Linked DNA regions of Rhinolophus ferrumequinum. The protein of the gene in region 1 purifies or fractionates together with the protein of each later gene. This does not show direct contact. Links are inferred from orthologs where the notes say so. Each region holds a gene or a part of one and is shown on either strand. Other genes may lie near its edges.

Region 1 (3,749 bases):
AACTTGTGCACCTGATATTTCGCTTTTCTAAACCGTCAGAAAATCATAATGCAAATGAGGCAGCATTTAGTATTCCACTATTTTATCAATGCCTTCTGAAATTGACAAATTAAAGACGTGCTTCCCGATTTAGAATTTATTTCCTCTCACAATAACTCTGTTACTCCAACTAAAGTTTTAAAAGTTTGACACCAAAATTAACATGCTTTTTTTTTTTTAAACCTTGTCTGAGCCAAGATATAAATCACCTCAAATTCCCCAGAGTTCACTCAAGCTTGACGTGCTCCCTTTTCTTAAGAGGACTTTTCTGCTTAATTTGCTGTAATTGATACTACATCCAGGGCTCCCAGAAATAAGTGAAGTTTCCTTGAGACTTTAAAAATCCGTGAAAAATTCAAAAAGAATGTTTTTAGCACTTAGTGTAATGATTCTTCTACTAGGGATGGTAATGCTAGCAAGGGAAGCTCCAACACACCTGGTTGCCTCAGAGAGCCTAAAAATGGACCCCCAAAAAAGACAGGAAGGACATCTGCAGAAGCAATTCCGCAAGACCAATGTAAAAAAGCTGAAACACCAACTTAAACACGTAATGGAAGAACTGCATTAGCAAGACTGCCTGGTCCCCTCAGGATTTCTCAGCCCAGACTCCAGGAGTAATTAATAGCACATGTTTTCTTTATCATTCTATGTGTTCTGCCACAATCTCTTCCCAACTTTGACCCGGAGCTGCAACTGGAGGAGAAAACCCTAGAAAACTTTGGGTCCGTAAATATAAAAACCGAAAAGGAAAGAACTCTCCCACTGCAACCGACCACAGTTACAATTTACTAGGTAACCACACCCACCGCATTGCAGAAGCCTTGAACTTGGCTGGGGGTGGAAGGGAGAGGAGAAAGGGGGAGGGGAAGTAAGGCGAGATTAGAGGGGAAATCCGAGAAAGCAAGCCCCCGCTGCAGGAGCCGGGAAACCCCCGCAAGGAATTGGCTGAGACCAGGACTCCAGCGGTCCGACGCCCCGGCCTCCCCACCCCCACCTGCCGCAGAGCTGCTCTCGCAGACACCTCCCCAGGCACCCCGCAGCCCCGCGGGCGCCAGGTGAGCCGCGCCGCTCCCCGCCCCTCGGCCACGGCAGGCCAGCCTCGGCCTCCCAGCGCGGGGGTGCAAGGGGAGGGAAGGCAGGGGCGACGGGGCCCTGCAGGTGCCCTGGCCAAGAGCAACCTCTTTTGGACGCCGCCACCTCCCCCGGCGGCCGAGGTGCAGCCCCCGCCGGCGTCTGAGGGACACTGCCCCAGTTCGGAAAGGAGACAAGTTACATAAAAGCTGCCGGCCCGCTCCCGAGCGGAGATGCTTTGTGCTGAGCGCACCTACCCCCAAATCCCGCTCCCGGGACAAGCCCGCAGCCACGCCGCACAGGGCCCCTCCCGCGCGGGCCGGCCACCCGCCCCGGGCGGCGCCGCAGTGTCGCCCTCCCTGCGCAGCCTGCCCGGCCCTCGCCCCCGCCCTCCCAAGGGGTAACTTAAAACATGGCGCCCCGAACGGGGGATTTAGGCAAATTGAGCGAGAAAAGGCGCGGGGACCGAGTCGCCCTTTTCGGCGAGGGCTCCGCAGGAGACCCCCCACACCTCCCCACAGGCCGATGTTCAGGCTCCGGGCGCCTGCCCAGCCGATGCTGCAGCGGGGAGGCGGGCGGAGGGCACGTCCCGGGGCACGGGGTGCGGCGCACCGGCTCGGCCCAGCAGGGATCCCAGCAGGCGAGCAGGCGGGGTCCGAGTTGGGCCTGGCCGAATCTGGGCTCGGGCGATTCCGGCCGCCGTGCAGCGCGGGAGCCACGCGTCAGCGGCGCAGCCCCGCGCGCCTCGCCCCTGGCCTCCGGCTTGTTCTCCGCACCCCGCAAAAGGGAGACCCCCTGGGATCCCCGCGTTCCAGCAGACAGAAAAGTTACCTCGGCTGGGCAAGGAGCCCGGGCGCGCGACGGCGTGTGGATGGGCTCGGCGCGCGTCTTCCCGGCTGTGCGCAAGAGGCGCGGGCGTGGGGAGGAAGCCGCAGACGCGGGCTGTTTGCCGCGGCTCCCCGCCCCCCTTTGCAGGGGATTCGGAGGCTCGGCGGAGCTGCGGCGGGGGCACACGCCCAGAGACCGCGCAGAGAAAGCCAAGCTCGTCCTGACTCCGCTTCCCGGCTGCGGGGGAATGGGCCACCGCAGTACTTGAGGACTGTTACGTGGTAACAGTCTTCTCCATCCAGGCGTAGGGTCAGGCTGGGGACAACACCTCGCGACAGCTGCCAATGGCGTTAGCCTTTGGATGTCCACTTAGATTATTGCCTGGGCCCTCTAATCCCCTCCTCTCCCTTCCCAGACACCCCTTTTGAGAGTGGGGGGAAGGTGTGCCTGACCTTCAGGTGAGTTATTTATTAGCTTAGGGGCTACAGTAATTTTTTTTTTCTTTTTGAAAGAAAAAAATTCAAATTGGTGGCATCTTGCACAGGGTGGGCACTCAAGAAATATTAAGTTAATAGAGAAAATCTGAATTAAAGGTGAGGGAAGCGGTTTTCTTTCCACAGCCTTCTATTCCTCACTATCTCCCCCTGCCCCCACCATGAATGTTCACAGTTACAGGTGGTCTTCTAAGCTTCCCAGAATAACAGGAAGTCATTATTGATAAAGCTTTACACTGAAATGGAGAGGAAGGGGCTCACACTCTGATGTGTAGGTGACAGAAATTATTCCTGGTCTTCTCACAACATCTAAGTTCTAACTGAGTAACCAAGACATATTTATTGAAATGTTTAAGGTCCTCTCCATATACTCCTAGTTACCCCTCTAGGAGCTCACCAACTCATTGAGGGAGGGAAAATGGACTCACAAAAATATTGTATTTACTGTTGGGGGGCAAACATGTGATGCAGAGTAAATGCCAGTGGCAGAGATTAGTGAGCCTGGTGTGTCCCTGACACTTGGCCTGGGTTTCAAGGACAGGGAAACAGCAATAGAAAAGGGAGGGGGCGTTTTTCATGTTTCACTGGAGAGAAGGTTGGAAAATAATGGTAACTCAGTTGCTATGGAGTTTATGGACCCATACTCTGTGGAAGACGTGCAGCTTTGGGAAATTCTAAGCAAGAATATGTGATTTACTTCATGTTATAGGAAAAATAATCTGTTGACACAGCAAAAACGAGAATGGACAGTCAAATACCAGGAGCTAATAGGAAGTGACTATGGCATTGTTCCAAGTACCAGGGCCTGAACTGTCTTTGAAGTGACAGATAAAGGTGGTAGTTCAAATACTGGATGATATATTTGGGGATCACCTGTATTAATTTTCTGTTAGGGCCACATGAGTGTTAGAGCTATATATACACATAGTACATTTGTACTTACATGGTTGTATGTGTTGCGTATAAGATCTGTGCATGAAGAATGGATTTACATATTTTCCTTTTTTGTGTTCACACTAAAGTGCACCCCTTTAAAAGTGGACTTGAACAAATTGTATTGTTTACAACAAACACTAAGTTGGTATTATCATTGGAGACACAGATGGTTTCATGTTTTCATTCATTTTATTGCCATGTTTTGGCTTTTTTTTTTTTTTAATTGAAAACTAACTGTTCTCCCGGCTTCATGAATCTTAATCTTTCTCATGATGTAGAAAATCAGCAACAGTGTATGAATGACTGTTTTCTTGGGAGAGAATGTTAGAATACTAAATATAATTTGTTAAAAGTTAAAAGTGCTTAATTATCCTAATGTTT
Region 2 (3,749 bases), on another chromosome or scaffold:
TGAGAGCAATCTGTCGTAGTGACCAGTTGTCCTCTTCAGCTGTACAGATTCTAGCCAAAGTTCTCCTCGTATTATTTGGGGGATTCTGTTTCCGAGCAAAGCATTAGCTCTTTTACTAAATAGCCAACCCCATATAGATGTCCCACAGGAAACCTCAAATTAGCCATTTCCCATACTGGATTTGTTACCTGCTTTGAAAGCCTACTCTTTCCCCTGAATTTTCCATCTTGGAGAAACGAGTCTGCATCCACTCAATCACTTAGGCTGGGAATTTAGGAATAATTCTTGACTTCTCTCTGTTCTTCATCCATCCTGATCTTTTCTTTCACCCAATCTATCTCCCGATTCAGAAGATTTTACCTTTGGAATAGCTCTAGAATTGGTCCCTGTTTCCAGCCTTACTGCTACTCTCTCACCTATACTATAGCAACAACTTCCTCCTCCTCTCGCTACCCACAAACCAATGCCAATTAAAATATCTAACACGTCTCTAACTACCCAGAGGATAGAACGAAAACGGCTCCACACGTCCCGTCCTCCCGTCACAACAGTCCTACGGCGTAGGTATGGCCGTACTGATTGCCCAGGCAAGAAAAGTGACGCCTAGCGCGATTCCCCTAGGTCTCTCGAGGCTAAAAGCTCTTGCTCTTGAGTTTAACGCCTCAGGCCTGTCATTTGTAAAACTGGATCCATAATAGCCACTTTCTCAAACGGTTGTCATAAAGAGGAAATGACTAATATGCGTGAAGTGCTTAGAAGAGGGCCGTGAACATGACACTCGGTTACCTTAGTGATTATGATCACTTAAAGTGTTTATTGCTGTTATTACTTTGCTGTTAAGTGCCTAAAAAAGTACTAGAGCACACGCTCCAAAGCTGATGGATGAACTCTCCCTTCAACGCCCCATCTCCTTACAGATGTAGCCAGCTCTTCACCAGAGTGAATTACCTCTGGGTTCCTTTGCCCGCGGATACGTGGCTCGTGCACTAGGGCGGTGTCAGGATCTAGACTGATGTCTGGGGCGTGGCTGTTAGTTGTGATGTGAACAGGCCGGGATGAGGCGGGCGCAAGTGATACTGTAAGAGCTGTAAACTCAAGAGTCCTCTGACCTCTGTTTAGATCAGTGAGGTCTCAGGCCTCTGTTTCCCTTTTTGTAAAAAATGGAATTTATTACTCCTTGTGCTTCCTCGCTCACAGGACGTGCAGTGACGACCCTAAAGTAGGATGTGGGGGAGAACGCTCCCTTACCGAAGCGGGGAGCCTCAGGAATGGCGAGGGAAAGTGGGGAAGAGAGTCACGTGACAGCCAGACCTCCCAGGCATCCGAAAGCTAGCCCTAGAACGTCTCGTCTCTATGGTGGATGGCCTTCAAATTCCGGGGCAGACTAAGTTGCTCTTCCGGGGTCATTGCCACCGCTTCCGGGCTGGGACGCGGCGAGTTGGGGTTGCTGTGCTTCAGCTCCCTCCTGGCCTGTGTCTGCGTGCTCACTGCTGCAATGAGCTTCCTCAAAAGTTTCCCGCCACCGGGGTCAGCTGAGGGGCTCCGGCAGCAGCAGCCAGACACCGAGGCTGTACTGAACGGGAAGGGCCTCGGCACCGGCACCCTTTACATCGCTGAGAGGTAGGGTCCCTGTTCCCGAGTGCTGCTCCTGCGCGCCGCCTGCTGCGACCTCGGGTAGCGGGGAGCTGGAGCGCGTGCTCTCAGTCGCTTCGGCGATACCTGTGCTGGGAGGTAGGCTCGATTGTTCTCGTGCCCTGTCCTCCTGAGCCGTCCTTACTCTCTTCTTCAGACGATGTTCTCTTATTGATTATGCTTTGTACTCACCTGTTTACAGGAGGTCTGGTGCGTGCATTGTTCTTGACTCCAAGTCTCGTCCTAAGGTGTTGAGTTTCTAGACCCTGAGTTAGAGTCATCGAGGTGGCCGCTTGTCTTTTCCGGTTAATAGGCGCGGGAGATGTTGCCCTGGGTAGGATATGTAGGTTTAGAGCAGATTGTGGAGGGTTGTGCAAGTTTGGTTAAGGATTATAGATTGTCTTCTGGAGGTGCGGGTGGCGAGAAGAGCACCCGCAACCCCTCTCAGTTCCCATTTCTGCCGTCCGTTTCCATTTCTAGAAGGAATTGTCTTTTTATTTGGCTATTTGGAGCACTTTGCACTTGCACAGTCGGATACACATGTCTGAAATATTATGGTTGTAGTACTGAGGTTTCATTCATCACCAAGCCAACAGTGACACGTTGAATCCTCATTGTCCTTCAAATCACTCTGACTTTTCTTTCTGCTGCATCACTTTGGGCTGCAGACAGAAAATTCTCAGCATGTAAGAGCTCATGTGATTACATTGGACCCACACAGATAATCCAGGATAATCTCACTGTTTGTCAACTGATGAATAACCTTATAATTATGACATCCATAAAGTTTCTTCTGCCACGTAATATACAGTATTCACAGTCTTGACACCACAGGATGAAGGTTATAGGGGCCAAAATTCTGCCTGCCACAGAGGACACACACACACACACACACACACCACCCCACAAAAAAACCCTTCATTTAGAGAGAAATCTAGATACTGAGCAAAGTTTAGGCTTTTGGCTAGTCACATAGATAGGAGATAATGGATGGGAAGAAAAGCATGTTTGGGGGGAGGTGCAGACAATGAGTTTGGTCTGGACATGTGGGGATTAGTTGGAGATGTGTGTGTGTGAGAGGGGGGTATTACAGATAGAGATTTGGAAATCATTAATACCAGTGTTAGCATCTACTCACGGGAATCGATTAGATACCCCAGAAGAGATGAGGGCAAAGCATAGAACCTTGGGGACACATCTACATTAAGAGGTGGATCATGGAAGAAGAGACTTGAGAAAAGGGAGGAACAGTCAAGTAAAATTTGAAAAGCATCTGTTGGGTATCGACGAGGAGATCTTTGTTGATCTTGAGAGAGCAATTTAAGTGGTGGGAAGTGGAGTACGGAGATTCCTAGCCCCTACGCAATTCCTTTTTGTCTCCGTGGCGTCTCTGTCTATTGGCTCTTTTTTCTATACCATAACCCCTTTGAGGGGAGGTCCTATACTTGTTTTTTCATTTTGAAAATTTTCAAACCTAAAGAAAAGTTGCATGTGTTGTTCATTAATACCCAGAGACCCTTCACAAAGATTGATCAGTTGTTTGTTAACATTTTGCCATGTTTCTGTCTCTTCTGAGCTATTTGAGAGTTGCAAATATGTTACTTTACCTGTAAATATTTTAGCATATATCTCCTAAGAACAAGGGCATTCTCCTGTATAACCATAATACAGTTATCACACTCAGGAAGTACAAACTCCTAAATTCTAATCTGTGGAAAATGTTTTTATTTCAACCTTTTACTAACAGATCTCTTACCTTGCTTTAAGAAGATATTTTTGTTAAGTATACATACAAAAAAGAGTGTACATTATAGATCTGTGGTTTAAAGAATTATAATTAAACCAACACCTGTATGTGCACCATTCAGGTTAAGAACAGGATATTTAAAAAAAAAAAAAAAAAAGAACGGGATATTACCAACACCTCGGGCACTTGGGTTCCTCCCTCTTCACTCATTGCCTCACCTCCTTGGTCTCTTGGTCTCTTTCCCTTTTTGTTCTTTCCTACCTAGCATTTCCAAGTCTTGATAGAATCAAGCTCTCAAACTGGGAAGGCTTCCTAGAGGAGGTGACAAATGAAGATTGACAGCCAGGTGAATGCGGTGGGGCAAAGGGGA

What was found.
Region 2: the proteins of EPB41L3 (region 1) and CLNS1A purify together in Homo sapiens (affinity purification with mass spectrometry; 3 studies listed by BioGRID and IntAct, with this or other methods). This does not show direct contact. The link is inferred for Rhinolophus ferrumequinum from reciprocal best matches to the Homo sapiens genes EPB41L3 and CLNS1A.

What each region holds. Positions count from the first base shown.
Region 1 is NC_046302.1:12,120,147-12,123,895, reverse strand, and holds the start of EPB41L3 (band 4.1-like protein 3), read right to left. Parts: upstream 2,260-3,749; 5' UTR 1,942-2,259; intron 1-1,941. UniProt on the Homo sapiens protein: Tumor suppressor that inhibits cell proliferation and promotes apoptosis. Modulates the activity of protein arginine N-methyltransferases, including PRMT3 and PRMT5.
Region 2 is NC_046294.1:51,909,992-51,913,740, reverse strand, and holds the start of CLNS1A (methylosome subunit pICln), read left to right. Parts: upstream 1-1,412; 5' UTR 1,413-1,495; coding exon 1,496-1,620; intron 1,621-3,749. UniProt on the Homo sapiens protein: Involved in both the assembly of spliceosomal snRNPs and the methylation of Sm proteins.